2 linked regions of the Caenorhabditis elegans genome follow. The protein of the gene in region 1 purifies or fractionates together with the protein of each later gene. This does not show direct contact. Each region holds a gene or a part of one and is shown in the gene's direction. Other genes may lie near its edges. The genes, in order: ads-1 and C32H11.4.

Region 1 (5,284 bases):
GGTTTACCTCATTTCCTTAGACTTTGGTCCAAAGGCTCAGGTACCGAGACTACAGTTCCTAGGATCCTTGTTAGGCCCATAGTCTTGGGTCCTTAGGTTCTAAGCCGCAGGTCCATAGCCTTAGCTCCTTAGGCTTAGAATGCTAAACCAACGTTAGGAATAGCCTAGATCCTTAAGCTTAGTCCTTAGGCTTAGGCCGCTAAGCTTAATCGGCTTAATCTCAAAGTTTGTCTATCTTCATCGATTTTACCTCTCCACCAAACAGATAAAGCGATCTAGTAGGCTCAAAATATGTGGCACACGCGTTCTGCCTCTCCGACATGATCTCCACATCCTTCACCACAAACTCGTCGGCAACCTTGTCCAGCTGTCCACTTGACGATGAGGTTCTGGGGCTTCTGATCCTTCCAGCCACCACCTCCTCCTCCTCATCATCCGGGGAGCAACGCTCGAACTGGAATTTAGGGTGAGTATAGAACTCGCTGTGATCCATGAGCTTCACGTGTAAATCGCACAAGTCGGTGAGCTCCGGGCATATCGATTTGAGGGTTTGCAGGTCGGGATATCTGGAATCTGGAATTTAGGAGTTGGCAGCTGGGCTTCCGACTACCTCAAATATCGCAGAACCTTGTTCAGCGCTGGCTCCGGAAGTCGTAAAAAATATTTCTCATAACCAAACTCGGCGATTCGATCTGAAAATATGAAACTTCTCGCTTTTCCGAAAGACAATTCCTGTTCGAAAGCGGAAAAGAAAACGATTTTAATCTGCTGCTGGCGTACTTTGTCTGTGTTGGTGATAAGCGGGTGAGTGAGGGGGGTTTGAAGACAGAAAGAGGTGATAAGGTGTACACATATACCACTTGCACGACGCTCTATTGTAGGCAAGTACGGAGGAGTGCGAGTTTGATTGATTTTTATTTGATTTTGGGTTTATTGTTGAATATTTTTGAATATTTTTGAATTTCAGTTGAAAAATTCTCTCTTTTTAAGTTTTGGCCTAACTCTAATTGGACTAATTTTGTGTTCAAAGATTATTTTTTCAGAAAAAATCTCATTTTCTTTGAAAAATTTTGTTAGGTCTCAAGCTTTGATGCTCAAAATGTTAAGTTAAAGCCTTTTCAACGATTAAGGCAACTTTTTCCGCACAGTTTCTAGGAGTCGTCAGGTGATGCCAGGCTGTCCCATTACGTTTTGATCTACAAAAAATGCGGGAACTTTTTGTCTAAAAAATGTGACGTCAGCATGCTTTTAATCATGCCAAATAAGTTGAGAACTCTGCGTCAATTCTCCCGCGTTTTTTTGTAGATCAACGTAGATCAAACCGAAATGAGACACTCTGACATCACAGTCTCCAAACTTTTGACAGCAGCCAAATTGGTATTTCTGCTTAAAATTGAAATTGCTACCTATTTTCCGTTATAGGTAGAAGTTTTTCCCCTTCTAGAGCTAGTTTTCCCAAGCTTTCAGGTATTTTTAGGCTTTGCAAGTCTAAAATTTCCACAAAATTAGAGAATCAAATGGAAAATTCTATTGTTGACCACCATCATGCCTCCGGTACACTTAATCACAACCATGATAAGATTAAACTAACATATGATCGGTTGAGCACCTGAAGCTTCTCGTGATTGTACTTAGGTTCCGTATGAAACCCCACTTCCCACGAACTCAGAAATTCACGATCTCGGTTCGATTCAGATCTTCGCCACTCGACTTGCAATAAATGTCGGCGTCCTATCAAACAATCGAGCACGACGTGCCGCAATCTTATCGGTAACCTCCTACACTGTCACTCTTTTTTTTTGAAGCATTTCAATTTACAGCGACAAAATCCTCAAGTGGAATGGCTGGGGGTACAGCGATTCACAGTTTGCGATTAACAAGGACGGACATGTCACTTTTACCGGGGATAAGTGAGATTTCAAGGGATTTGAGCAGATTTAAGCCGGGAGTTGGCTGAACTTGTTGAATTTTCAAGCTCCAACTTACACTAAAAATAAAAAACAACTGCGTGGCGTGTACGCAGAAAACCCAAAATTTAGGCCCCGCCTTTTTCTCGTCTACTCACGGGGAAAAGGCAAAATTCGGGACCCCAACCAATATCGGGCCGCCGACATCTCACGGATTCCGCGCGCTGCTATGTTTAACTCGCAGCGGGCGGAGACAGCTCGCCACGCCCATAGCGAGTTAAGCGCAGCGGCGCGCGGAACTCGTCAGATGTCGGCGGCCTGATATTGGTTGGTCCCGAATTTTGCCTTTTCCCGTGAGTAGACGAGAAAAAGACGGGGCCTAATTTTCGAGTTTTCTGCGTACACGCCACGCAGTTTTTTTTTATTTTGAGTGTATCAATTTCTAATTCCAGATACGAAATCTCCGGAAAAGTGATGCCACACTTCCGCCCGTGGTTCGAGAACTACTTGGGCATCGATCTAGGCTTCGTAAGCCCAGCCCAGAAGCTTTCGGACGTGATCATCGATGCCCCTGTCGAAAATGAGGATATCATTGAGTTCCTGCAGGAAAACAAGATTTCCTTCTCGAATGAGGCAAGAATCAGATTGATGAGAGGTCATGGGCATACAGTTCACGACATGATCAATTTGAGAGAGGGAAAGATCCCGAGACTTCCGGATATCGTTGTCTGGCCGAAAAGCGAGCATGAGATTGTTAAGATCATCGAAGGAGCAATGAGCCATAACTGCGCGATCATCCCAATCGGAGGTGGTACCTCTGTCACAAACGCTCTGGATACCCCAGAAACCGAAAAACGAGCTGTGATCTCTATGGATATGGCACTTCTTGACAAGATTCTCTGGATTGATCGAGAGAATTTGACTTGCCGAGCTCAAGCTGGAATTGTCGGGCAATCGTTGGAGCGTCAGTTGAACAAGAAGGGATTCACATGTGGACATGAACCGGATTCCATCGAATTTTCTACTCTCGGAGGATGGGTTTCGACTAGAGCCAGTGGAATGAAGAAGAACAAGTTGGTTATTATGATTTTTCAAGTTGTAAACTCAAAAAACAAGCAAAAAACTCGAATTTTTGTCTATTTTCGGTTGAAAAACTCAAAGATTTCCCGAATTTCTGTATTGCTGTCCGCAAATACGGTACTCCAGTTTTGACACGATGGTATTTTTGGCATAAAAACCACAAAATTTCGGGTTAATTCCTTTCGTGTTATCGAAAAAATACGATCGCACAATTTTCTCATAATTTATTTTTGATCTACCTGTTGAACTTGACTCCGCCCCTTCCTTCGACAAGACAGCCATAACAAAATAACAACGGCAACAAGTTTGGGGGGGGGGGGGCGGAGTCAAGTTCAACAGGTAGATCAAAAATGAATTATGAGAAATTTGTGCGATCGTATTTTTTCGATAATACTGTACAAATTTACAACAAATTCCAGATACGGAAACATCGAAGACCTCGTCGTCCATCTGAACTTCGTCTGTCCAAAAGGAATCATCCAGAAGCAATGCCAAGTCCCAAGAATGTCATCCGGACCAGACATCCATCAAATCATTCTGGGGTCCGAGGGAACGTTGGGAGTGGTGTCCGAAGTCACAATCAAGATCTTCCCAATCCCAGAGGTCAAGAGATTCGGAAGCTTCGTGTTCCCGAACTTCGAGAGCGGAGTCAACTTCTTCCGCGAGGTTGCCATTCAACGCTGTCAACCAGCATCCCTTCGTCTTATGGACAACGATCAATTCGTTATGGGACAAGCGTTGAAGGTGGCTTCAGATTCTTGGTGGGCTGACTTGAAGAGCTCCGTGAGCAAGATGTACATCACATCGTGGAAGGGTTTCAAGGTCGACGAGATTTGTGCGGCCACGTGTGTCTATGAGGGAAATCGCGAAGAAGTCGATCAGCATGAGGAGAGGCTGAATAAATTGGCCGAGCAGTTCCACGGAGTTGTCGGAGGCGCCGAGAATGGTCAATATGGATATCGGCTTACTTTTGCTATCGCCTACTTGAGAGTGAGTTGGAGCCGACGGGTAGATCAAATTTTGAATTAAATCGTTTCAGGACCTTGGAATGAACCATGGTGTGCTCGGCGAGTCGTTCGAAACCTCAGTTCCATGGGATAAGGTTCTCAGCCTTTGCAGGAATGTCAAGGAGCTGATGAAACGCGAGGCAAAAGCTCAGGGAGTCACGCATCCAGTTTTAGCGAACTGCAGAGTCACCCAGGTTTACGATGCCGGAGCCTGTGTGTACTTCTATTTCGGATTCAACGCCAGAGGATTGAAAAATGGCCTAGAAGTTTATGATCGTATTGAGGTAAGCTTTCGATAAAACGCCCCTGATCTCGGAATTGCCCTTATTTCCAGACAGCCGCCCGTGACGAGATCATCGCTTGCGGTGGAAGCATCTCACATCACCACGGAGTCGGAAAGATCAGAAAACAATGGATGCTGACCACGAACGGAGCAGTCGGAATTGCGTTGTTGAAGGCTATCAAGAGTGAGCTGGATCCGGCGAACATCTTCGCCAGTGCTAACTTAATTGATATTATTGGATCACCGCATTGCAAGTTGTAGATAATCATTGTTTCGTTTTTTATTATTATTGGATTTTGAAACTTGAAGAAATAAACTTTTTTGAAAAAATAATCGTTCAGAAGCTCAAAAATTGGCTCAGATGCCGGAATCTAGCTCAAAAGCTCAGAAAATTCAATTTTTGTAGAAAAACTAGTATTTCGCCTGCCGAATTGAATTTCGATGCTCTAATTTTAGCTAGGAACTTCTAAATTTGGTTTGGATCCTCAACATTTCGTTCAACAGCTCAACTTTGCTCTAATTTAGCTCTAACTCCTTTAAAATCACAGTTTAGAAGCTCAACTTTTGACTTCTGAACGCATGTGGTGTCAGGCTGTCCCATTGCGGTTTGATCTACAAAAAATGCGTAAATTTTTTGCCAAAAAAAAATGTGACGTAAGCTCTTAACCATGCGAAATCAGTTGAGAAGTCAACTGCATTTCTTCTCCCGTCTTTCTTGAAGATCAACGTAGATCAAACCAAAATGAGACAATCGGACGTGTGAACGTCCACGTGGTGTCAGAGTGTCCCATTTCGGTTTGATCAACGGATATCTACAAAAAACTTTGGGCTTGAGACGCAGAGTTCTCATAATGATTTCGCTGGGAAGAACGTGCTGGTCACATTTTCTTGTGCAAAAAATTCCCGTCCTTTTCGTAGATCAAACTAACATGGGACAATCTGGCACCACGTGCCAACGTCCAATTTTGGTAGGAATCCACATATTTCGATTGAGAATGCAAATGTTC
Region 2 (4,446 bases), on another chromosome or scaffold:
CACGAATGTTTTCTTCATACATAGAATTTGGTTAAAAATACTGTGAAAGCATTGCAAAGTTAATGTGAATGTTTGATGTGGTTACGAAAGTCGTGGCGTAGGCGTAAAGTTAAAAATATTCGCATTTATTGTTTTCAGACACCCGAGATTATGCCGATTACGTCCAGCTAAACTGTGGTGGCAGTACCACTTGCATTGCGACAGTTGACGGAGGAAACAAAAAATCTGCAATTGCTTCGGTTCTTGTCTCACAAAACAATGAAACCCTGGTGGATATTCGAATGGATCCGGTATTTCATGAAACAGTAGTTCAGTTCATCATTTTTAAAAATTCCAGAGTGCAACAATGAAAGTCTATTATGGATCTGAGACTGCGTTTGCATTTGATTCAACTTACAAGTATGTTTACTCCTTACTTCCTTACTGATCTCAAAAAATCATTTATTTTTAGTGGTTCAACAATCAATTCGCTTCTTCCACTCACGTTCTACGGCAGTTATGTTACTCAATATGTTATCAGCAATGGAAAAGCTACTCTTACTTTTAATATTCCACAATAACCAACAAACGATATTTATTCGAATTAATAAAGCATTTCATGAGTCTTTGTGTTATTGATACAAAAGAGGAATTCCAATAAAATCGTATAATGGAGGTAAAATAATGATGGGTTGGTTGGTTGATTGGTTAGAGCAAAGTGCAGCGACCATAGAATATGCAAGTATCCAAAACAGTTAGTTTATATGAATATTCATCTGTTTGCTAATCACAAAAGTAAAGAACTACTGCATACGTATAATAAAATTTATATATTAGGGGAAAATGGAAAAATGATGCTCATGCACCTTGATAGAACCAATACAGCTAAAACGAGCCAATCGGCTGAGAGACTTTTATTCGTGAGATTTTTGTTGTGTTAAATAGTTTGGCAGGATTATGACACCTAAATCTATTTTATATTTGAAACACTTTTGGAACATTTTAAAAAATTTTAGAAAATGTTTTAATAAAATTGCTAAAACTGCTCTTGAACTTTGTAAATATGTGACTTTTTGATTTTTTCCGTTATCAGCAAGACTTTAATTGTCTTACGAAGTATCGCCTCGCCGTGAATGATGATTTTACCATTAGTGGCGTGCAATAACGATGATAATTGTCGATGAAAAGTGATGTCAGGAAAACTTTTGAACTAAACTTTGGAAAATCAAAAGCAAATACTACATTTACTACTTATACTACACTTAATCCGGGTGGCACTGAAAAAGAGCTGTGTGGAATTTGGCAACAACTTTTTGGCAAACGTCTTTTCTCATTTTCAGTTTCTTTTTAATCTGCAATCAGCAGTATTCAGTTGTCAGAAAACTGCCGCTAGGATCATTTCAAGATAATCCGTAACAGAAATATAATTTTTCGACTAGACGAGCAGTGGATGCTTCCTGCTGAAATTTAGTTTGATCTTCGCACTTGTCTATGTGCAATTTTAAACTTGAGTCCTCAACCAATAAAACTTATCAGAGACATTATGGAGCCAAAAGTGCTGATTTTAAGATTCAATTTCCTATTTCCCGATTGCTTTATCAATTTCACGCCCTTCTAAATATCATCATGTGTCTGTGTATTTAACCGCCGCGATTAAGTACTGCTGCACCGTCCTTTGAAATGCCGAGTCTTACGACTTTCCTATCTGTAGCTCTCCTGGCTTCTGTAGTGTCTGCTGTTGGCAATAGTAGGATCTTCATTTTCAGACTTTTTTTTCAAAAATCCATTTTTTTCCAGCTTGCAAGACTGGAAATGTGGTTCACAAGCCAGTAATCGATGGAACGCCTGTATACTTTCCAGCTACATGGAGAGAAGACAAAGCGGCACCGGCTCTTGCCAAGGACCAATCGTGTAGCTGGATGGTCACTATTCCCCAAGGATACTATGCAAAATTGACGATTAGTGGAAAAATGGGTGATAAGCATTCATACTTCCAAACTGTTGACTGCACTGGAAACGTTGTTCAGTAAGGGGTTTCCCGGTTTGTGAATATGAGAAAATTAAGTTTTCAGAACAAAATTGGAGACAAAGCATCCATATTACTTCCCATCGCCAAAGTTCACTCTAGTTGTGTCGAATGAAGCAGCTGCCACGTTTGCATTTAAAATTGAATGGGCTCCGTGTAAGTTTGGAAGTTTTAATAGTATTTGGGGGTTACCCTAAAAAATTTAAAACAGGCAAATTTTGATTGAGGTGGAGCAGCGCCAGTGGGGAAAGTTATAAAAACCACTCCTATGGTGCTAAAATGACCGAATATCACAATAAAAGTTTTCAAAAGTTTTTTGAAAAATGTTTATTTACTGTCAAAAAGTGAAAATTATCCAGTTTTTACCCTTCATAATTTCGGAAGTCGACCAAAAACAACTTTTTTTCCCTACATTTTTATACTGTAATTTTTTAAAAATTATTTGTATCGAAACATTGTAGGGGTCGGTACATACAATACTGCTTTGGATTTCCTTAAAAACTTATGTTTTTCAAAACTTTGGCAATCTGCCAAAACTGACCGGGAATTATGAAAAATCTAAAATTTTTTGGAGTATTTTAATATGATATTCGGTCGTTCCGGAAGTAACCAATCCGCAAAAAAGCGCCTTAGAAGTGGTAAAAACCCACCGAGGTTTCGCACCCAAATTCTTATGCCCTCTGGGTGATCTTATGTTTAACCTTAATAGATTCCAGATACCACCCAAATATCATACATCGCCGGAATTGGAATGCAGCCACATGTCCTTAATATCACACAGGATCTGTTTGCGGCCGATTTCAGTTCAGACAAAGTTGCTCTTTTCGTCTCTCCAGCCGATCCAAATGACTATTATTCCCTGAGAAGCTCTCTTGTTTTTGAGGGACAAGATTACAATGGAAACTTTGTTGCAAAGTGAGTTTTTTTAAACAAAAATGTTGAGAAAAAAAAAATCAATTTTCAGCTTGTACACGCTCTATGAAACGCACCAGCAATGGGTTTCTAAAGGCAGCATGGTCTATATCGTAAACTTGGAGGCCAGCAACAAAACCGACATTCTGTTAGTTCAAGATATACAATGTATGATACTCTTGGCGTTTTTCTCTTTTTTTTATATCTAAAGTTTTCAGATGCAAACTTTGTTGACTACGTCGAACTTAACTGTTACGGCGTGTCAACATGTTCCGCTTCTGTTGATGGTGGTGATGGAAAATCTGCCGTTCTTTCTTTATATGCCTCCCGAAGCAACGAAACTTTGGTTGATATTAAAATGGACCCGGTATGCCTTTAAAATCATTTTTAATTTTTAAACTCGTAATTTCAGAGTGCAACAATGAAAGTCTACTACGGATCTGAAACTGCGTTCGGCTTTGATTCAACATACAAGTACGTCTGCTAGCAAGGTTTACAGTTCCTAAATGTTATGTTCTTTTCAGTGGTTCAACAATCAATTCGCAACTTCCACTCACGTTCTACGGCGAAGATGTAACTCAATACGTCATTAGCAATGGCAAAGCTACTCTTACTTTTAATATTCCACAATAATTTCAAAGCATAAACGGAAGTATACTGCCATCGACGTATTAAACAGTTTTTTCGTTTTTTTAAAATAAAAGTTATGCAGTCCATCAGCGAAAATTTATAAGCCAAAGTGCTCGAATATTGGTACATTGTTTTTGCAAGATTACCAAAGTAAACAGGTAGGTCTACCTTGCCTGCAAACCTGACCTGCACATGTCTGTTGCTCTGTATTATAAAAATTATGTTTTAACAATAGGTACGTAGGTTGCCTCGAATAGAATTAGTCAACCTTGTGCCTTCCAAACAGTATTTTACAGAAATATTTGACTATTTTTATATGTTTGAACTTTGATATCTGATTTTAATAAACAATCATAATTCATACTGTGTATTAGAAATTATAATTTATTCCCACATATACAAAAAGTGTAAAAGTCCAACAAAAAAACGTGAAAGCAGTTGTTTAAAGTGGTCCTGGAATCAGGAGAGATTTCACATCTCTATTTTTATTCTTGAAATCTCTCATTCTTCTGAACGAGTTTCCAGTGACCTCATTTCCAACTTCAATCGGTCCACCGCCCAACACAATTTCCTCATTGAGAATGAGAGTTTTTGACAGAATAAGGATAAGTTGAACTTCCAAATTAAATTTTTCCTTGAGTTCTTCCAAAGCGGTTTCAACTTGAGAAAGAGTTTGATTTCTGTTGGCGGTGATCTCAGAAAGCATTTTGTAAGTTGATGGAAGTCTTTCAATCACAGAGACTGTGGTCTCATTGAACTTTTCTTTTCTGGCTTGCCATTTGGAAGTGTATACAGCCCATTTGTCCTAGAAAATGGAACTTTAATGGTTAAGTTATTTTATTGAATTAGATTGGGATTATATACTGAAACTTGAGAAAAGCCCAAATTTAATTTTACAA

Evidence for each region.
Region 2: the proteins of ads-1 (region 1) and C32H11.4 fractionate together in Caenorhabditis elegans (co-fractionation; one large-scale study listed by BioGRID). This does not show direct contact.

What each region holds. Positions count from the first base shown.
Region 1 is NC_003281.10:294,968-300,251, reverse strand, and holds ads-1 (Alkyldihydroxyacetonephosphate synthase), read left to right. Parts: upstream 1-1,695; 5' UTR 1,696-1,720; coding exon 1,721-1,770; intron 1,771-1,820; coding exon 1,821-1,910; intron 1,911-2,359; coding exon 2,360-2,980; intron 2,981-3,043; exon of another isoform or gene 3,044-3,136; intron 3,137-3,406; coding exon 3,407-3,977; intron 3,978-4,026; coding exon 4,027-4,278; intron 4,279-4,328; coding exon 4,329-4,538; 3' UTR 4,539-4,598; downstream 4,599-5,284. Other genes in the region: Y50D7A.1 (F-box domain-containing protein), read right to left, coding at 251-566, 611-692. UniProt on the Caenorhabditis elegans protein: Catalyzes the exchange of an acyl for a long-chain alkyl group and the formation of the ether bond in the biosynthesis of ether phospholipids.
Region 2 is NC_003282.8:12,919,661-12,924,106, forward strand, and holds C32H11.4 (CUB-like domain-containing protein), read left to right. Parts: upstream 1-1,603; 5' UTR 1,604-1,659; coding exon 1,660-1,726; intron 1,727-1,776; coding exon 1,777-2,005; intron 2,006-2,051; coding exon 2,052-2,161; intron 2,162-2,721; coding exon 2,722-2,920; intron 2,921-2,969; coding exon 2,970-3,085; intron 3,086-3,135; coding exon 3,136-3,284; intron 3,285-3,329; coding exon 3,330-3,391; intron 3,392-3,441; coding exon 3,442-3,550; 3' UTR 3,551-3,636; downstream 3,637-4,446. Other genes in the region: C32H11.3 (CUB-like domain-containing protein), read left to right, coding at 139-290, 338-399, 452-560; srlf-4 (SXP/RAL-2 family protein Ani s 5-like cation-binding domain-containing protein), read right to left, coding at 3,990-4,352.